Regions from separate parts of the Mus musculus genome. Here all the other regions are reported to be linked to region 1. Evidence: microRNA targets listed by miRTarBase, many of them from high-throughput screens and not tested one by one. Region 1 holds a microRNA gene; each other region holds the end of a gene's coding sequence.
What was found. The annotated mature microRNA mmu-miR-465a-3p reads GAUCAGGGCCUUUCUAAGUAGA and lies in region 1 at 2,734-2,755, opposite strand. An mRNA with a match to its seed (bases 2 to 7 or 8) in the 3' UTR can be bound and repressed. Matches are read on the target gene's strand: a 7mer-m8 pairs with bases 2 to 8, a 7mer-A1 pairs with bases 2 to 7 and ends in A, and an 8mer does both.

Region 2: miRTarBase lists Foxl2 as a target of mmu-miR-465a-3p. Seed matches in the 3' UTR shown: 7mer-m8 at 3,285-3,291.
Region 3: the mRNA of St6gal1 is a reported target of mmu-miR-465a-3p. Seed matches in the 3' UTR shown: 7mer-m8 at 2,817-2,823.
Region 4: miRTarBase lists Foxk2 as a target of mmu-miR-465a-3p. Seed matches in the 3' UTR shown: 7mer-m8 at 1,847-1,853.

The regions. Positions count from the first base shown.
Region 1 is chrX:66,836,330-66,841,761 of GRCm38, forward strand. It overlaps Mir465 (microRNA 465), which reads right to left and starts at 2,796; the gene lies at 2,723-2,796.
Region 2 is chr9:98,955,729-98,961,160 of GRCm38, reverse strand. It overlaps Foxl2 (forkhead box L2), which reads right to left. Exons shown (of 1, transcript NM_012020.2): 1 at 3,035-5,432. The coding sequence ends at 4,373. Among named protein-coding and RNA genes, the nearest start is that of Foxl2, 2.8 kb to the right of the region's middle.
Region 3 is chr16:23,356,802-23,362,233 of GRCm38, forward strand. St6gal1 (beta galactoside alpha 2,6 sialyltransferase 1) reads left to right here. Exons shown (of 8, transcript NM_145933.4): 8 at 828-3,549. The coding sequence ends at 1,069. Among named protein-coding and RNA genes, the nearest start is that of Gm30814, 33 kb to the left of the region's middle.
Region 4 is chr11:121,306,523-121,311,954 of GRCm38, forward strand. It overlaps Foxk2 (forkhead box K2), which reads left to right. Exons shown (of 9, transcript NM_001080932.3): 9 at 246-3,378. The coding sequence ends at 442. Among named protein-coding and RNA genes, the nearest start is that of Wdr45b, 45 kb to the right of the region's middle.

The DNA.
Region 1 (5,432 bases):
GCCTACATGCTGTACTGGTGAAATAGTGGCACAAATGCAATGCAAGTAACTAATTAATCTCTCAATGGGTTTAAGGCCTGCTGTACAAGATGGAACCCATATCCTGGGGTCAAGAATCTAAGTCATGGGCCTAGGAAAGAAACGCATGTTCTATTTTTCTTCTAAATGTACAATTAAATGACTCCTAAGGATGTTCTCCTATACGCATACCAGTGTTTTGATCAGCCATAATTAAAGTTTCCTCTTACAGTGGATGGAAAAACACAGACCCAGAACTGGGCAGGATGCAGAGAATGAGAGAATTTGAATAAATACAGGACAATTTAAAGTAGGTATTGCCTCAGCTAGATCCATCACTCTTAGTAATTTTATCACTGTACTCCATAGAGTGTAGAATTTATTAACTGACCTTTACTCATAAACCCTAGAAAAAAAACCAAAATACTATTTTAAACTTATGCCTTTTCCCAAATTCCCTAGCCATTTTATCACTAAATTATGAAATAGTCATCAATGAATTTGGTACCTATTCCCCCTATTGTACATAAAATTAGTGTTCTAATGCTCCTGGGTAAAAGAAAGTAACTGCATATATACTGCCATTTACACCCAGAGCACAATTTCAGGGCATGATGATTCTTGTTTTTACACAAAGATTTGTTCTTCATGTGTTTATAGGACTGAAACAAATCAAGACTATAGCCTGGTATATAGTGCTGATTTCACGTATCTTTACCCTTCCCCATACTTTCAACTGTAATTATAACATAAATAAACATAATATAACATACATAAAGAAATAGCTTTCATCCTGTTCTACTCAGGAAATTCTCTCACCATCAAAATTCTCCCTGAAAGTACATTTACTCATGTTTTTTCTTTAAATGAATACTCATCTCTGTATCAATGCAATATGTTGACTACTATTTTCTTTTTTGACAACTTTACTACATTTAGTATATATGGCTTATTTGCTTTTATTATTTACCTTTGTTTTCTAACCTGTACATTTTACAGTAAACAATTCTATGGTGAATACACCCTAAGTTACATTGATGTCCAGACAGTTACAATGCATCCTGCTATCAAAAACGTTTATCTCTCACATGTTTGAAGTTTAAACCAAATTATATCACCACAAATATTGTATGAGTGAGATTTATTTCAGACAAAGAAGTCCTGAAAATATCTAAGTCACCTATGCATCATCAACATTAGTTAACTGTTTTGTACTGCCCGAACATGTCCCATCATATCCTAGAGACTTTGTCATACTCCTAGAAAAGACTTGGGACTGTTCACAGGGTCCCCAATGGAGGAGTTAGAGCAAATACTGAAGGAGATGAACGGGTTTGCAACCTATAGGAAGAACAACAGTATCAAACAACCAGAACCCCTACATGCTATGGACTAATCCACCTTCCAAGAGTACACATGGAGGGACCCATGGCTCCACCAGCATATATAGTAGAGGACAGCCTTTTTGGGAATCAATGTGAGAAGAGGCCCTTAGTCCTGTGAAGGCTTGATGCCCCAAATGTAGGGGAATGCCAGGGAGAAAAATTGGGAGTAAGTGGGTGGGTGAGGTAACACCCTCACACAAGCAGGGGGAGGTTAGATGGGATGGGGGGGATATTGGTAAATGGGAAAACATTTGAAATGTAAATAAAGAAAATATCTAATAAAAAAAAAACAGAACAGAGAGTGGTGAAATTCAAGAAATCATGTAGTATCTTAAAACCTTGTATTTTGTTACATAAGAAAACTAAAAGAGGTATCAACCTGTTGGTCTTCTCTTTTCTTGACTTCCTTGTCTTTGCATATTATATATTGGGTAATCTATGTTTCTGGGCTAATATCCCGTTATCAGTGAGTGCATATTTAATGACTTCTTTTGTGATTGTGTACCTCACTAAAGATAATATCCTCCAGATACATCCATACATCCAAGAATTTCATAATTTCATTGTTTTTAATAGCTGAGTAGTACTCCATTGTGTAAATGTACCAAATTTTGTGTATACATTCATCTGTTGAGAAACATCAGGGTTCTTTGCAGTTTCTGGCTATTATAAATAAGGTGGCTATGAACATAGTGGACCATACCCTATAGGTGGAACAACAATATGAACTATCCAGTATCCCCAGAGCTCATATGCAGCAGCTTATGGCCTAATTGGCCATCATTGGGAAGAGAGACCTCTAGGTCTTGCAAACTTTATATGCCCCAGTACAGGGGAACACCAGTGCCATGAAGTCGAAGTGGGTGTATAGGGGATCAGGGAGCTGGGAGCATATAGGTTACTTTTGGGATAGCATTTGATATGTTAATAAAGAAAATATATAATAAAAATTTAAAAAAGAAAAAAATGAGAAAGAAACCTAAAGGATATGAATGTATTTCTAGATGACTATTATCTACTGTACAGCAAATAAGAAGGCCTGATCAATTCTGAAGGGAAAAGCAGAAGTAGATATGGTGGACAGGGAAAGTATACAGGGGAGGGGCTACAAGGTGTGTAGGGAAAAAGAAACTAGAATCTGGACATAATACACGAGGAAAGAATAAGTAAATTATAAATAAATAAATAAATAAATAAATGAATAGAAGGAAAAAAAGAATGTGGATATGTCCAAGCTCATCTATGATTACAGAAGGCACTTTTCATGTACCTACAGCTAATCTGAATATCCATCTACAAGTCATTAAACGTAGAAGGTGGTAAGCCTTACTCTACTTAGAAAGGCCCTGATCAATTTTTTATTTTATCACATCAGTGCCATTCTAAATAGGGCACTGCATACAAAGCCTTTAAGGAGATGTTCACACATTCATAAACAGTCTTGTTAGTTTTATCTCACCTCTAACCATAGCCATTAATGGCCAAGTAAAGGGTCATACAGAATCCTACTACTGTAGAAGTTTCTTTTAATATATATACACATATGAGGAATCAAAACAGAGTCACTAAATAATAGGGAAACCATGCTCTCCACATTACAACTTTCACCATCAAGTGAAACATGCAGTGATGAACTGTTTATATCTAGTTGGATCATTAACCAAATGGTTTCCTCCAGCAAACAACTTAGGTTTTTGCGAATTTTTTATGATTTGCAAATACTCCTGGTAAGGCGATACTGCTGAAAAAGGAAGTCAGAGTGGTACCTGTAGAATCAGCACCTCTACTAATCAGCATTCATGGTACTGAAAGTTACTCTGAATGATACCAGAGGATAAATGTAACCATCAACACAACTACAAACCATGTGCTCTACATGGTGATTTGCCTACATGCTGTACTGGTGAAATAGTGGCACAAATGCAATGCAAGTAACTAATTAATCTCTCATGTAAATAAAGAAAATATCTAGGAAGAAAAAAAAAAAGAAAAAAAGAATGATACCTACTTCCTCCTGATATTTATTCGAAAGACAATGACAGTAATCATCCCAATGTTCTAAAACACTTGTATTCCTTAACAAATTTAACTTGCATTCTTCTTATTTGAATGATTATATGGCAAAAAGTGAAAATGCTATACTTCCATGTATTTAATTTTTTTCTGTGATATCATACTGTTTTTATATTAAAAACATACTGTTGTAATAACTCAGAAGATGTCTGATTTATAAGTCCTCGGAAAGGCATTTGTGAGATTTGAGAACACATGTAGTGGTTACTTGTAGTTATTCTTCCATTACCATTCATTTCTCACCACAAACATTTTATTTTTGAGCATTACTGTACACAGAGATGATCTTAAAATGTAGTAATAAATAACCTACAATTAATTGTTCAATAGAATACAATTCATGTGGAATATAGAAGTCCTTTTCCAAGCCAAAGTTTTCAAAATGTCAACTACAGTGTTCTTTGCCTTACATCTTTCCTTCTTTTTCCTAGTCTATGTTAATCTTAATGATGGTTTGAATCTATGGTTTAAGTTCTCTCTCATTCACTTTTTCCCTGTAACAAGATCATAATCTTCATGATCATATTTTCTTTAATTCTCATGAGTTTCAAAATTGGGCATGGTAAATAAGAATGTATCCTGGAGACATCAAATGTGCATATTTAACCAGAGACACCAATTCAAGGGAAACTGCAAGTGTACTGACACTATCACTCAGAGATCACAAAAACTATGAAAGGTAATATGAATTGTTCACAAAGAAGTTTGGGACATATGGTGTTTAAAAGATGGGCCACAGTCTAGTTAAAATACAGATAAGTAGCTGCTTGAAAATTTTCTAAATTATCATTTTCTATCATCCTCTCCAGATTTTGTAACATGAGAAATAAAGAAAAATACTCTTACCATGAGCTGATTCAATCGTAAGTCATGCAAAAATAAAAAATTCATTTTCCTTTACCATATATTTTACCAAAGATCCTCTCAAATTATATTCTTTTCATCTACACAATAGTCAGCACTAAGAGAACAACATGTTTGTTACAATTATTGATAATACAATATAATAGGCCAAACAATTTTACCTTCATCTACTTTTAATCTGATAGATCCATGTTGAGAATTATCCATGAAAGTCACCTTAAGAGTGCCTGATAAACTGGCCATTGGTGACACAGATTTAAACCCAGCACTCTGGAGACAGAGGGAGATAGATCTCTGTGAATTTGAGACCAGCTAGGTCTCTCCAAAGTGAGTTCTAGGCCAGCCAGAGCTACCATAAGAAATTTTGTATTAAAACCAAACCTAACAGAACCAAAAATCTATAAATGGTGCCTGATAAAATAAATGTTTGGCAGGACAGGACTGGTATTAAAAAACATATCCACAAGTGTTTTAGATATATTACCCACACTATCCAGATGTTACCTATATATGGTAACAATATACAGACAATTCCTGCATCTTTATATACAGAGAGAGAGAGAGAAATGACTTTAGTTCAGTTGGCTGCCTGACTAAAGCAGAGCACTGCACATAGACTCTGCTAACTCTAATATCCACTACAGGTCTTGAGGATAGCATAATACACAAATTCCCAATTTATTTTTCAGGAGTTCTGGTGAGTGCCAAATATAATGACATTCACAGGAAGAAGTGAAAATATCACTATTTGCAGATGATAAAATATATATACGTGACTTCAAAAATTCCATCAGAGAACTCCTAAACCTGATAAACAGCTTCAGTGAAGTAGCTGGATATAAAATTAACTCAAATCAACGGGCTGTGAAAGAAATTAGGGAAACAATACCTTTCACAATAGTCACAAAATATAAAATATATCGGTGAGACTCTAAGGAAGTGAAAGATCTGTATGATAAGAACTTCAAATCTCTGAAGAAAGAAATTGAAGACAATCTCAGAAGATGGAAAGATCTCCCATGCTCATGAATGGCCAGGATTAATATATAAAAAATAGCTATCCTGGCAAAAGCAATCTAAAGATTCAACACA
Region 2 (5,432 bases), not on the chromosome of region 1:
CAGGCCTCCTCGGAGAATTTCTGAGGCTGGTGACCTGTGGCTGGCAACTTCATTGGCCAGATCTTCAACCACTCAATTGTGTGAGTTTGGTTCCTGAGTCCCAGGCACTCCTTTGGTACAGCCTGGAACTCACTCTGTCCAGAAAGCACACAGTCGCTGGCTTACTGCCTTACTTGGTTTGTAGACTTGTCAGTGTTTTGCCCCTGGTCCCTATCTGAGAGAGAGAGAGAGAGAGAGAGAGAGAGAGAGAGAGAGAGAGAGAGAGAGAGAGAGAGAGAGAGGTGTTCTGGCTAAGGAGCAGAGGCTGTCACACAGCAGTGACATAGTGACACAGCCAAAAGAACATAGTTAAGTACTATTTAAATAAAGTGGGGACACTTTGGGAATCTTGAGCTTGAACAAATCACTTCCAGGCATTGGGACCCCTTTCTGGGTGGCAAGAATTTGACTTAGCAGTTGGAAAGCTTCAGGCCTTCACAAAGCTTCACCCCCTCGCACCCCCCCCGCACCCCCCCGCACCCCCCCCCAGCACATTAGAAGATGGTTACTTGGCTTCAGGAAGCCCGAATTTGCCCCCAGTTTTTACCTACCACCAGGGGGCTCTCTCTACATGGCTACCTTTTCAGTCTTGGCTTGTAAAAGACAATGCAAGGCTCAATACAATCCCTCAGTGTATCTCTTGCATTGGTAAAATGTTTCTCTAGTCCCATTAGAGAATTGGACTCCCTGCCACAAACCCATTTACTTTAGGTTTTTAGGGAATACAAAGGTCACTATAAGAATTCGAACATAGAGGAAATGTTGCATTCTGTCCGTATTTAGGGATGTGTCTGTGCACAACCTATTCCCCTGCTACACACACCGTTCAGTACCATGCTTCACAACTCATTACCTGTATCCTTCAGAAATTGGTAGGATATTTGCATCAAACTCTATTTATGTTGCTTTTATAGAACACACTACAAGCATATATGCGCATCCCCACAGGGGCTACTAGGTATCCAAGCCAGACTGTGTATACTAAGGCATAGTTGTTCTGCACCAGGAACTCTCTTGGATAGTTTTGCTCTCACTTAGGGAATTATCTGAATCAGATTCTTTAACAAATTCAAAAGTGCAAGGCAGAGGGAGAAAGGAGAGAAAGGAAATTTGAGACAAGGAAGGTCTGTTATTGTCCCCAACTAGAGAAAAGGACCAAATTTTGGCGCTTTGCAGAACCCCTTAGGGCTGGAATTAGAGACAGATGTCTTTCTGGAGGCATCCGTGGGGAAGTGGCTCCCTTCTCTTACCTCCTCCAACCACTGTGTAGAGTTGGGAAAGCCCCCTCCATCTAAGTTTCCTTACTTGGCAAAGCCTTCCCAGCTGTGGATGCCTCTTGCTGGTAGTTCTTGGGTACAGTGAGGCAATCCTCCAATGCAGGCCTTGTTCAGCGTCTCCATCTTACTGGAGCTGGGCCATGACCTACCCACCAAAAGCCCTACCTCTGAGGCTGTCCTCCTGCTTTCTACTCTGGATAGCAGTTTGTTGGGGGTGCTGACAGCTAGTCCCCCGGAACAGGGAGCCTCTGTCAGATGAAGTGAGGGGTGCACATACTTTGTTATCCTTCAGCAAGCCAGAAACACACACCCAGGGCACAGCTGTTTAGATCAGCACGAGGTATGAATGCAACAAGTACTGGGTTCTGGCAAGCACCCCCTAATATTAGTCATATAGCTAGTACAATATCCTAAATATATGTCATCCATCCTCCCTGCAGGTGAATGACAGATACACAGCTTATACCCTGTCTCCATTAAATAACAGACACTAGAAACACTCACGCCAGGCACAGACTACAGTGATCTGATCCGTACATTTGAGACTTAACACCAGGCTACAGAAACACCTTCTTGCCTGAGGGATTCTCCCTTTCCACCACAACCGAGATTCTCCTTTCAGCCGACCCCCAGTGGGTGGGCTGAAGTTTCTACCTTCCGGAATCCACAGCACCTCCTCTACACTGTAGCCTCCTTCTGAGATCTTTGCGGGGGGGGGGGGGGGGGAAGGAGAGTGCATTCTGAGCCGAACAGGCTTCCCTTGATCCCAGCAACATTATAATCTAGATATCACCCTGACATTCCTAAGGTTAGACCTTCGGTTAGCTGAAATGAGGACCCATAGGTTCACACCCTTAAGCTCTTAGCTTCTCCCAGCTCGTTCCTCTGGACCTGTCTCTTATCCAGGTAGAGAGAGAGGCAGGTGACAGATTCATGGTTATGCATGGGATCTAAACTCCTGTTGCACGAACCCTCAGCCACTCACTGCCGGATCCAATATCTGTCACCCCATTGGAAAACTGAAGGCCAGCCACCTCTAGTCAACCAGAGAGATTTCATCTGCAACCAGGTCAAACACCTTTTGTATCTTCTTGAGAGCATGGGTCTTAATTCGTTATTTGATGGAGCTCAGTAAAGAGAAAGCAAAAGCCCACCTCCGTAGCATATTGTACACTAAGTCCCACCTGAAACACCAAGTTTCCTACACTTATTTCAAGATAAATGAATGCCAATTGCTAAAAACAACGGTACGACAAATCACCGATTACACTGTAGAAAAGCTTGCAGCTTCCAAGGTGTTTCTGAAATCTGGATTTTATATTAAAAAATGTTACATATATTTTTGACAAAAAAATTCTTAGACGTATGAGGATAGCAGTGGAAACACAGCGTACGCACCTAGTACAATTATGTAAGAGGCAAAATATAAACTTACACGAACGCAAAACGAGAACAAACCTTGCCTACAGTAGCCTCTAGCGAGGGCCGGGTATCTTTGCCGGTGTGAAACAGCCGCAACAGACAAACGATGACACAGAAAAACAAACAATCTCCTGAAAAACAAAGCAGCAGCGACAGCCCAAAGCGCCTGCCACCCGGGTTGTCCTCAACTCTTGTTTGTGTCACTTTTTAAAAGAACACAATTTTTCTTGAAAGGCTCGCTCTCTTAGCTAGCTAGCTGCTGAACTACGGTGTAAAAGAAACAATGCAAGTCCGTGTTAAAAGAAAAACAAAAAACAAAAAAATTTATTTGGGAATTGACAAGGGACGCCCTCACACACGTACAAACACAACAAAAGTGCTCTAGTTCCCTCTAGAAAATTTGGTCCCCGAAAGACATTACTCAACCACCAGGTCACGGGATTTCGGGCCAGCCGGCTGGGGCCACAAGCCCGTGTGGGCCGGCCATGACGAGTTTCACATTTCTCCTTCCGAAGGTGGAAGAAACAAGACATTGGAAAAACAAAAATCAGGGATAGGAGTGTCATCTGGGCGGTGTGTACCAGCCAGGCAGAGATCTCTTCTGGCATCCGGGGCAGAATCGGAAGATCCGGGGAAATTTGTTTTGAGTTCAACTTTTAAATAGAAAAGAAATTCCTAATTTGTAGTGGAAACCTTATTTTAGCTAGTTATTTTCTCCTCCCTCTGAACACAGCCTAATGAAGTCACCACGGGAATTCTTACACAAATTTCCCAGCAGGGTCGATGAAGAAAACCAAAACTTTTGATTTTGTTGTTTGGTTTTAGCAAACTCCAAGGCCATTACATTTCTCCTCCCCACCCCCCCATGAATGTTTTATTCTCTCCCTCTTTCTTTTTTTCTTTAAAAAGTATTTTTTAATATTTTCAAAAGCCTCACCAATCTTTTTCATAAAGACCTGGCCTGGAGGTGCCCTATGCGGTGCTCTGCGGAGCGGAGGCACCACGGCCTCACAAGGAGCGGGGGATGAGAACTCGGTTGCAGGCCGCGGAACGAGGCTGTCCCTGCTCCAGCCTGGGGCTCAACCCCCGCCCCGCCCAGTGGGCCCCTCTGCAAGCGGCTTCTGATCAGTTCCAGGAGGGATCGCAGAGCGACCAGACACGTTCTTTCCATTCTCCGGTAGTGTGGGTCCCTCTTCCCCCAGCAGCCTAGCGCTTCTAGTCGCAGACAGTCGGGGTGGGGAATTAAAAATAAAATCGAGCTTGAGTCCACCGACCTGGAAGAGAGGGCCAAGAGGTAAGCTGCGTCTCAGACACTTCGACCGCACCTCGGCCGGGGACTCACTCCCTGCGGTGAGGAGAGGAGGCCCGCGGAAAGCACGGAGTGGGCGGCCTCCGGCCAGCAGCACGGGAAAGCAGAGGCCGCGGCGGGGAAGAGCACCGGAGGAGCAGCGGAGGCGACAAAGCGGAGTCGCAGGAGCGGGGCGGACCGAGGAAGGGCAGACCGCTCGAGGGCTCTGCATCCAGAAGCTGTCCCGGAGTGCGCGCTGTCAGGCTGGCTGCTGCGGCTGCGACCCGAGCTCGGCTCCTCCACTCCCGGGATAGGGGTGGGGGACCGCTCCCGCGCGCGTTGGCACTCAGAGATCCAGACGCGAGTGCAGCGCGCCCGTCTTGCTGTCGTGGTCCCAGTATGAGCAATGCATCATGGCGAGCTCGGGTTGCCGGGCGCAGGCGAACTGCAGGCCGGGCGCGCTCGTGGGCGCGGGTGCCGGGGGCGCGGCGGTGGCCGGGCTGGCGGGACTGAGCTGACCCGGGGGAGGCGCGGCAGCCCCGTGGTGTGGCGGGGCTGGCGGGGGCGCAGCGGCCGCGTGCAGATGATGTGCGTGAGGGTGCGGGTGAGGGTGCGGCGGCGGTGGCGGCGGCGGTGGTGCGGCAGGAGGGCCCCCCAGGCCGTTGTAGGAGTTCACGACGCCCGGAGGCAGCGCCATGCTCTGCACGCGCGAGTACGGCCCGTAGGAGGCGGCGGGGCCCGCCAGCCCCTTGACCACCGCGGCTGCACCGGGGCTGCCCGGGCCGGCGGCTGCAGCGGCTGCAGCAGCGGCCGCCGCAGCCGCCGCCATCTGGCAGGAGGCGTAGGGCATGGGCGAGGGAGGCTGCGGCAGGGGCCAGGAGTTGTTGAGGAACCCCGATTGCAGGTACTTGGGTGGCGCCAGGTAGCCATAGCCATCGGCCCCAGCTCCGGGCACGCCGCAGCCACCCGCCGCTCCTCCGCTCCCGAAGAGCCCCTTGCCGGGCTGGAAGTGAGCGGGCGGCGGCCGGAAGGGCCGCTTCATGCGGCGGCGGCGCCGGTAGTTGCCCTTCTCGAACATGTCCTCGCAGGCCGGGTCGAGCGTCCAGTAGTTGCCCTTGCGCTCGCCGCCGCCCTCGCGCGGCACCTTGATGAAGCACTCGTTGAGGCTGAGGTTGTGGCGGATGCTATTCTGCCAGCCCTTCTTGTTCTTCTCGTAGAACGGGAACTTGGCTATGATGTACTGGTAGATGCCGGACAGAGTGAGCCTCTTCTCGGCGCTCTCGCGGATCGCCATGGCGATGAGCGCCACGTACGAGTACGGGGGCTTCTGCGCGGGGTCTGGTTTCTCCGGTGTTGTCCCGCCTCCCTTGCCGGGACTCGGCGGCGACGCCTCGGCCTCTTTGACT
Region 3 (5,432 bases), not on the chromosome of region 1:
GATGTTTTAATGCAATATCTTTAAAAATCACAATGCCAGAAATTATAATGAACAACAACAACAACAAAAAGGTTTCATAGGTAACTATGGATAGAAGTGGTAACATTGCTCTGCAGAGTCATGTTGGGAACCTGACACAGACAAAAGTTTATCATACCTCTCCTGGCTTTGTGGATGCTTTAGTTGAAACCATGAGAGAAGCTGGGCTAGCTTGTCTAGATGGGGTCATGTAGGAAACGGGAAGCAGATTTGGGGTGGACTGGGGATAAGGGTACTGAATGCTGGTCAAAGTCTCTCTTCTTAAGCTCTCTCCCTGTCCCTCAGATCTTAATGCCCATCCATCCTTCCCTCCCTTTCTCTTGGGATGGACCACTGGGGCATTCCCATGAATGGACAGGCTGTCTCTGCAGAGGGATGGACACTCCTTCCATGGGCAACTGTAGTGCAAACCTTTAACGAGATGTTTCCAGGGACTCACCACTGTGCAGTTTATCTGTCTACTTCCCATACTAGAGGGCTAACTGTCTTTCACTTATCCTGTGGGTCTGGCATGGTAAAATTTCCCTTAGTAAATGAGCAGCTTAGTTTTCTGCTAGAGGCAGGGATGAAAAGACATAGGGGCCCTTGCAGTACGTCAGCCCCTTTTACCCTCTGCTTCAGCGTTCGGGTAGGTGCATCTGGGCTCTTCCTAGAGCTTTTAGAGCAGCAGTGGTTGGTGTGCTGAGGAACAGACTTCCTGTTGCCCCAGGGCCCTGCTGCTGTCTGCGTTGCCCCTGCCATACCTGTCCCCTCCTAACCACACGCCTCCCCTCTGCTCCCCTCTCTAGGTATCATCATTATGATGACGCTGTGTGACCAAGTTGATATTTACGAGTTCCTCCCATCCAAGCGCAAGACAGATGTGTGCTACTATCACCAGAAGTTCTTTGACAGCGCCTGCACGATGGGTGCCTACCATCCGCTCCTCTTCGAGAAGAATATGGTGAAGCATCTCAATGAGGGAACAGATGAAGACATTTATTTGTTTGGGAAAGCTACCCTGTCTGGCTTCCGGAACAATCGCTGTTGAGCCAGGCATCCTCATCCTTCTCCATAAGTCATTTTATGGCTGCTCTCCTGGTTACCACTGCTTGAAGGAGTGTTTTTATTCAACAGGCCCAGCCTGCTTCTTGCACTCTAGGGAATTTTGTTGGCGAGGGTTCTGGGGCCTCCAGTGTCTGATGGCAAGGAGGCAGACCCAGCCTTCCCTGCAGGCACAGAGTATGGGAGCCCAGATTCTTGCCGTACACATTTCTCCTGACAACATCCTCCTCTCCTTTCACATGAGTAGGGGAAAGAGCCACATTTCTCACCAGGGTTGCCAAAACTAGACTTTGTTTTTTCCAACTGAATGATGTCATCCTAACAAAGGAGCACCTTCCGTGGCTTAAATCTCTCCCTAGGTGGTGATTTCACATCTCCCAGATCATGATTTGTGTCAGATGCAGGGTGGCTTCAGGGAGGGGAGGCAAATAATTGGGACACGGTGGGGAAGCCTACTCAGTTACTCTAGAGTAAAGTTGTTCCCAAGGGTAGTCCCTTTTGATCCTTAATCCTGGGTGCTTATGATCTTGCAAAGGATCTTGGGTAGCTCACTTCCCACTCTCCATGGAGACAGAAGGTACAAAACCTCCCATCTGTCCCCAACCTGATCAGAGTTGAGTAAAAGAGAGAGACACCCAACAGGCAGCTAGAATGCAAACATTCCGTGCGCTCAGTGATTTGGGCTCCTCTCTGAGAGCGTGCTGTCTGTACACCCAGCAGGGGCCAGTTCTACTGTGTTCTTGTTGAGCAAGAGCACTGGGGAAGCTCTTAGAGGAAGAAGAGAAACACACCGTCTTCTTCAGAAGAAGTTTTCACTTTCCCCTTTATCACTGATGTTAGAACATGGAAACCCAAGGTATTTTTGTTAGAAAGTCCCTACCCACATTGGCACCAAGTGCTGCCCCACAGGAGACAGCAGATTAGTCAGATAGGCTGGGGCTCTTTTATTTTATTTTATTGTTTTAGCTGTCTACTCCCTAACCTTCTCCTAATTGCTATCATTACTCTCCCTTACAGCAGGCTTCCCTCCCAAATTACTTTTAATCATTTTCTGTTTTGCAATTACCCCAACTTTCGCTGACCTTATGGGCCCCCCCGCCCCCCATGAAAGGTCTCTCAGGGCATGGGGAATATGGTTTCTGGGACTTAGGTTAGAATCTTAATCATAACTGATTCTCACAAGGGGTGAGGTGTGTGATCACAGATTGCCCTGCTCCCCCTGCAAGGGAGTAGCATTGGTCTCTGGGCAGGGAGGACCCACCCTGTTTGGCAAGCATACTCTCACAAGGATTTTCTGAGACCTCTCTACCTGGTGGGAAACCACAGCAGCCCACTCAGCCCCTGGTGTGGAGTGGTTCAGTGACTTACAGATCAGAATTAATGCTATTGAATCAAGGTCACTGAGACACAGTCTACTGGATTCCCAAGGCTGTGCTCACAGGGCTTCGGTGTTTCGAGCTGCAGACCCACAGTCTCAGAGCTCAGAAACTTGTTTACTGCTGACCCCCTTGCCTTATGCGGGCAATAGAAAGCCCGGAGTGAAAAGCCCTGGCTTTCCAGGTTGACCCCCACTTCCTCACTGTGCCACTTTGTTTCCATATCTGTAAAATGGGGGTGACAATCCTACCTCACAAGGCTGTGTGGGGACCGCAGGAAAACATATATCTGGGCTGTGTGAGGACCACTGGAAAGCACGTGGCTGGGCTGTGTCCACGGTGCATAGGAAGTAGGTACCCTGATGTCTTTCCTTGTTTCCTTATGGAGGGTCACACCCATACTGGGCCTTGCTGCAGGAGAGGGCAGTAGAGAAAAGCAGGGCATCCTTTCTGTTGTGAGGCATCTGCATCATTTGCAACGTGCAGGAGCCTACCTGTCTTGCTGCCTGCACCTCAGGGTGTGCAGAGCATTGGGCTGCTTGGCCGCTGTGGGGGTTAGGTCTAGGGAATTCCTGGCTCATTATAAGGCATCAGGACTGTGGATAGAGTGCCCAGGAAGCTGATGTTCCTTCAAGAGGTCAGCAAGAGGTACATTAGAGATGGAGACTACACTGGGTAGATTCTAGTTTTTAGTTCTTATTAATGTGGGGGAGTAAATTAATAAGTGTAATATGATTCTGATGTCTGTTAGACTTTCTCTGTGCTCTGTAAATGTGGATACTTGAGTAAAGTGGACTACGGAGTGGATGTGGGCGTCACTGTTAGTCTGATGAGGTATTTAGTATTTGCGACAGGTAGTTTAAAATCTGTGACTGAGTGCTATAGGAAAGTGTCTTTCTACGTGGGCACTGACGTCACTAGCCATCTATGCATCCTAAATGCAGGATCCTCTTGATTCCTTCTGCCAATCAAATCTCTCATTGCTCTTGGTTTCCGGGTTTGTGTCAGAAACTTTTAAAACATACCTGTTAATTCTAAATTATCCAAAGATTATGTGCAAATTTTAAAATAAATATCTTTTTCAGAAATCTGCTGCTTCTCTTTATACTTTTCTAAAGGTAATGACTGATTGCCACTTATGTGTCCCAAGGAGACACGTCTGGAAATCGAGTGCCCTGTACTTCAGGAGTCTCTGGCATTGATCTCCCTCTTCAACACTCCAGGAAAAAGTTTATATATTTACTGTGATGGAATCTCAGAGATATTGACAGCTTATTGATTTTTTTTTTGCCCATTCACTCTTGCTAGATACAAGTAACGAAGCTATCATTTATCGCACACCTTAGGAGAAAGGAGAAATAGAATAGGGTAAAGAATAAAAGAAAAGGCTCTTGCTCTGGAGTTCAGGACCCTTACATCAGCGGCTCTTAACCTTCCTTACGCCACAGCCCTTTAATACAGTTCATGATATGATGGCCCTCAACCCTAAAATTATTTTCATTGCTTCTTAATAACTGTAATTTTGCTACCATTATGAATTGTAATGGAAATATATATTTTTGATGGTCTTAGATGACCCCCCTATTAAATGGTCATTTGACCCTCAAAGAGGTTTCTACCCACAGGTTGAGAACCACTGCTTTAGATTGTTTAGGGCAATAATGATTTTAGGGAATAGCTAAGAATGTTTGAAGACAAACCCTGAAAAAGAACAGGATTTTTTTTGGGGGGATTTCTTTTTCCCTGAACTGCTTGATTTCAAGATAAGGGCGTCTCCCCAAATCCTTAATATTGAATTCCTAACACCAGGACTCTGGAACCTCTTTGAAAATGGGACTATTAGAGATCTAGTTATTTCAGATGAGGTCATGCAGCAGTAGGGTGGGCCCGACTCCAGGAATACTAGTGTCCTCATGAAAAGGAGGAATCTAGAGACAGGCACACACAGAGAAAACACAATGTAATGTTGAAGGCTGAGGTCGCGGTGATGTACAAGCCAAGGAATGCCAAAGGTTGCCAGAAAACCCACCAGAAGCTGGAGAAGCTGCCTAGAATAGATTCTCCCCCACAGTCCTCAGAGAGGCTAACCTCAATCTGGGAGTTCTGGCTTCTAGAATTTTCAGACAATACACCTCTGTTGTCAAAGCCACACACTTTGAGGTACTTTACACATTATAGCCTTTAAGAAATCAAGCCTAATGCCTCCTCCCTCCACACCCCTGCCTTTAAAACTCCTCCCTCCATGCCCCTGCCTTTGAAACTCCCAGCTGCAGCTTCCTGGGCGAGGGAATGGGAAAGGGCAACAGGCTGCTCAGGGGTGGTGCTTACTACCCATCTAGGACCCTGGAGAATACAGTCTTGGATGCTGGGGTTTGTGGGGCTTCTCCTTCAGGAAGACAGGACCCTGGGCCACCACTACTGATGACATCTTCATCTGAGTGTTGCTGATTAGCCAGAGAACATTGAAGTGTCTCCCTGGCCCTGCATCCAATGCTTTGGCATTGTGAGCTCCTTGGACCAACGCATCTCCATGATGATAGAGAAGCATTATTTGGATCCCATGGGAATGGGTGTTGAAAGCAGAAAGTAGAAAAATAATTCTACTTGGCCAAGTTTCCAGTGGCCTGGTGAGCTAGTGGGTGGGTCTCTCCATCTGTGTCTGGAGACTGGTTTCTTTTGTTCCTCATCCTGGAATCGGATTCTGTTTTTATGATATAGATGCTAATTATGAGGAGGTGGAAAAATGGGGTCTCAGTTTCTTTGCTGATTGTAAGAAGGAAGCAGTGTGTGACACGGTGTCGTGGCCCTCAGCACAGCCTCTAGGATGTACTGTGATATGCACTGTGAGGCGAGGCGAGGCGAGGCTAGGCTAGGCTTCCCCTCTCTTGGGAAGCAGGCGTGTTCCAGTCCTAAAAGTTCACTCCACGGGCTGGGAGATTGCCATCAGTTCAGGAGAGCACGAAGGGCTGTATT
Region 4 (5,432 bases), not on the chromosome of region 1:
TCCTCCAGGTGAACAGAAGCCTCCTTGCCGTGGCAGTTCTGGGCTTTCGAGTAGCTAGCTTGTGCTTTTTGTAGAAGCTACAGAGGTTTTTCTTACTGATGGGAATTGACCTGCCGCGGCTTTGGCCATGTAGGGCTATCCCTGGGGTTTTGTGTAAGACTCAAGAGGGTTTGGCATGCCAGTGTGGACTCTGTGGTCAGGGGTTTATGCAGTAGCGTGGGGTTCTGATTCACTGTGTCCTTCAGCAGCAGCAAGTCCTCTCCATATGTTGGCCACCCATGCATCAGCATCGGCATCCCTGCCCACAAAGCGCCAGAACGGTGACCAGGCAGAGCAGCCAGAGCTCAAGCGAGTTAAAGCAGAAGATGGCGAGAGCATTGTCATTGCCCTGAGTGTGGATGCACCACCAGCAGCTGTGAGAGAAAAGGCAATCCAGAACTAGCTGTGGGAGACCTTTTCTTCAGACATCAACTTTGTGGTGCCAAAAGGAGATGCTGCCTCTCATTGAAGCAGGGAGCGCTGCCTCTCTCTCACTGAAGCAGGGAGCGCATCCTCGGTGGGTAAAGGGCCCTGCGGTTGGACTTCACCTCTCAGCACTGAAAACATGAACCCAGGTGGCCTTAAAACTCCTTAATTTAAAGACATCTTACACTTGAACAGACCCACAACAGCAACCCTGGTTCCAGAGGTGGTGTCTCCGACAGAGCACTTGCTGGGCCGTTGTCTGTGGGCTCAGCTTTTACTACAAGCAAGAAATCCAGGTCCCAAAGGACTGAGTCTCCTGGGAGGACGCAGCACCTGCTACAAGTGGATCGCGCTGGCTTTCCTTTAGGGGACAGGGCCACAGCCATCTGCTGCCCTCATAGGACCTGCTGGCTGTGGCTGAGAGACAAGACAGTGTTTTGTTGTTCACATACGGAATTAGAATACTTGGCAGTGTCCTTTCTTTACTGAATAATGGGGTCTTTGACATTTCATATCACTCCATTTCTACTCTGGAAATTTGAGATTCATTTGGGGGAAAGAGCGTCATTCTGTTTGTTTCTGTGGTTTGATTTTAGCCCGTGGGATGGTTTGCTCTAGTCTGTCCTGCCTGTGTTTGGGTGGCTCTCCCTTAGGACACCTACCTGCCCGTTTCCGTTTAGAGCAGTTACCTGATGAATTTGACCTACCTTGTGCCATTGTAGAGGGTGGGTGGGCTGAGGCTGCATGGACCCATGAGGCCAGGGGGCATTGGGACAAGAGACCCTGGGAGCCTTCCAGCCGTCAGGCTGCACGCACGTACCTGCTCTAGCTTGCTGGGTTTGTTGTTTGTTTCTTTATGTAGACTTTGTCCTTGGCGTAATTTCCCACTCTAGTAAAACAAGTCTCCTAAATATTGTGTATGCTTAAAGCAACAGATCCCTCCCTCCTGGGAAACAGATCCAGGCCTCTGTCACGCCTTTTCAGACCAAGGTCATAAATCTCTCTCTCCCAGAACCTGGGGAATCATAGAGGTCAGCTCTGGCCTCTGACTGGCTATCTGTATGGCACACTCGCAGCAAGAGCTGGTGGAGAGATGTTGCCAGTTAACTTGAGGGTCTTGGGAGTAAGACCCTGCAGCCAAGTATCAAGCATTCAGGCCATTTTATGATTCTCAAGAGGTTTCTCTGGATTTTCAGAATGACGTCCCACACTAATCCTGACTTATGTCACATAGCAAGTAAACTAAGAGGGAAGGGTGAGGAGAAGTGGGGAGGCCAGCAGCCCAGCCCACACTCAGGATCACCGCTCACCTTTCCAGAGCATTCTGGACTGAGCTGAGCAACAGGCAGAGGGCGTTAGCCTCATTGTGAGGTTTTTTTTTCCCTGATGTCATCATCATAACGTTATTTATTTAAATGTAGTTATTTTGGTATTTAATTTTTTTTAAGAGAGGGGGGGAAACCCTGTATTTTCCTGGTAGAATGAAATGGCTCAGAATGGTATATTTAGGCAATTTAAAACATTATTTACATAAAGACCAAATATGATAAGTCTGTTCTAAGTATTGCTTCACCCACAGTATGGAGCTGTCACAATGTTACTGCAGATGATGCGTGTTGACATGGAGTTACTGCACCCAAGCTGGATTTATATAACTCAGCCACTTAAACAATAAAGGTGAGACATGATGCGAGTGAGAACATGTGTGTGCCCACCGCAGTCTGCCTCCTCCATCGTTTCTGCAGGTAACCTCGGAATGTCTGTCTCGTAAAGGTTTGCAGTTTGCAGAGTACTTTAATTTGGGTTATATTGTGCCCAGCATGTGCATCCAGACTATGGGCCTCAGTTAACGTGGTACACTGGCAGGCCGCTGCCCTAGTCAAGGGTGGGCTCAGGTACCACCAACTGGACATACTGTGTATCTGGAGATGTGTGTGTATAGCATGCTTGCCCAGGACTTGTTCCCTATGAGTGAGATCTGCAAACTCGTTACCTCTGAGCCCCAAACAGACCTTATGGGTCTGTAGGAGTTTCTTTTGGGGATCATAGAAAACATTTAAAGATGGAAGGAGGATTTTTTTTTTTTCTTTAAGGCCACCTTCTCAGTCTCGCGTGAGTGAAGTGTGCCAATAGGCACACACCCATCTTTTCTCCTTGCTGCTGTATCGGCCTTGCTGCTGCTTTGGTCCATAGGAATGTAACGCTGCCAAGGAGAGGGCAGAAGCTGGACCCTTAGGTTATTAACTGAGTACTAAACCCAGGGTTTCTTCCCAGTGTTGAAGGCACTACTTTAGTTTTATGTTCATCTAAGTTCCCAGAAGCCCCTCCATACACCAGAGCTGGGCTCACGTGCTTTGGCCCTCAGCAGAGGTCTGATGTGGGAACGTACTATCCTGACACAAGGAGCTCACAGCAGTCCCCAGTGCCTGTGGCACCACTGCTAAATGCTTATGGAGTCTCACTTTGACCTTTACCAAACTTCTGAGCTCCCTCAGGAACGAGATAACTTCAGCAGCGTAGGCTTGAACCACACCGACCACAAAGGGAAGCTCACCTGTGTCCTGGGTACGGTGCATTCCAGAATGTGTGTGGCATAACATTGTATAGCTATTTCCCACACTGTAGAATGTGTTCACAGACAGCAGCTGGTCTCCGTAAATACCCCACCCCACTTCCTTGTCCTCTGCTGGGGAGCTGGTCACAGAGTAGCCGTAGTAGTTCAGAAGGGGTCGGGGAGCATCAGGACTTGGGTTTTCTATGCTGTGTGACACAAGGAGAGAAGTGACAATCGTGAAGGCCAAGCATCTGCAGCTCAGAGGAAGCAGAGTGCTGATCTGTGTGCAAAGATTTGGAATTTTTAAAAAGTACCAAGTTCCTGAAATTCAATAAAATATTTTTATTAATTTTAATGAATACAGAGTATCATTGTCTTCTGATAAGCAGATACATCTATCTTACTTTTTAGCTTGTGCTGGGGAGACTGGACCAGGAACACAGATGGGCGGCAGCACAGGCTCCCTTAGAGGTGAGGGAAGGCACAGGGTCTTCATGATGCTACGGCTGTACAGTCAACTGTGTGGCATCTTACTGACATTCCGTTGTTAGAGTTATAAAGTGTTCTAAGTTGTGATTGTCCCCCACTCCCACCCCACTCGCCCTTTGAGGTTCCCAGGCGGTAACACTCATCTTCCAGCTGCTGTCCCAGGCCACCCACATAACCAAATAATAAATCTATGGGCATGGAGTCAGTCTGAGCTACATGAGACTTGCTTTTTTAAAAAATGGGGGTCAGGGGATGGGACACTGGCAGGCTGGTGGGTCTAATTGTTTCCTGTTGCCTTTTTCTGTTATGACCCCAGTTGAGCCACTTGTAGCGTACAGGGAGGCTAAAATGTGATCCTTTTTAGAGAATGCTGGCTGGGGAGACAGAGTTAGAATTCCCTGGAATTCTGTGCCCCACATTGATCTGGAGCCATCATGGCAAAACTGACCTGGAGGAAGTGTGAATTGTCTGAGCAATGCACGCAGGGTGTGGCCTGAGTAGCTCAGAAAAGCTGGGAGAACTCCACTCACAAACATGGGTGTAGATATGTGCAGTCTGCACAGCAGTGGTGTTAGCTAAGGTAAAACTCACTGAGCAAATGGCCACAGGAAGCTCAGCCTGAGGACAGCTGTCAACTCCAGTATGACCCAGATGTAAGTAAAAGCAAACAGTGCATGCTTCCTGAAGTTGAGCAAATGCTCTTTAAATACATCAACAAGTTACAGACCTTAGACATGAACTATTCAGTGGATAGAGCCTTTAGAAATGGAAACGAGCTTCAGGGACACAAATGTCCCTTGGTTCCCTGCTAAAGGAGAAAGATGGAAGTAGCTTTTATAAAAAAACAAAATAAAGCTGGGCGGTGGTGGTGCACGCCTTTAATCACAGCACTCGGGAGGCAGAGGCCTGGTCTACAGAGTGAGTTCCAGGACAGCCAGGGCTACACAGAGAAACCCTGTCTCGGGGGGGAAAAAAAATAAAATAAAATAAGTAACTGGGTGTGCTTAGTTCTGAAAGACCCCCGAAGGGAGACCCTCACTCAAGCCTCGGGACAGCCGCGGACCCAAGAAGACACTGAGACCGAACTCAAAGTGTTGAAGGCAAGATTTAATAAAGCAACAGCATGAAAGCACATAGACCAGAGCTCTGGGGTCGAAACTCATACACCTAGTGGTGTAGAGGAGAATCGACGACCAGCCAAATTTTTCACAGGCTTATATAGGAAAACTCAAGGGGGGAGAGCGGGGTAGGGAAAGTACAAATTTACATAACTAAGGGGTTCTGCCAAGGGACAAGGGGTTCTGCCAAGGGATTCTACGTAACTAAGGGGTCATGTCCTATTATTTGGCAATGTACTCGGTTCATTCTGAGGTTGTTCCAGGAGGCCCTTATCTCAAAAATGTTCTTGGAACAGTCTTTAGTTGGGAGGGTTCGAACTCTAGGGTGAGGAGTTCAGGAATGTATTCTGGGGTGAAGAGTTCAGGAGTGTTCTGGGAACACTCTCTAGATGGGAGGGGTCGGGCTCTGGGGTGAGGAAGAGTTCAGTAATTTTTTATTCTTCATTCCCCACTCCTTTTAGGAAATAGCTCTAATCTTAGAGCGAGTTTTCAACCTCCTGAAGGACCCGATATTGTTGCCTTAGTACCATAACCTGTACTGCATTTATCCTTTCTCTAATAAAAGCTACTAACTTATTAAGGATGCAGGGGCCAAAAGTAAGCAAAAGCATAAGTGTAATTAAAGGTCCTGCTATGGTGGAGAGGAGAGTGGTGAGCCAAGGGGACTTATTAAACCAGCTTTCGAACCATCCTTGTTGGCTTTCTCTTTCTCTTTTACGTATATCTAGGCGTTCTCTAAGTTTGGCCATAGAATCTTTGATTACTCCTGAATGGTCAACATAAAAACAACACTCTTCTTTTAGGGC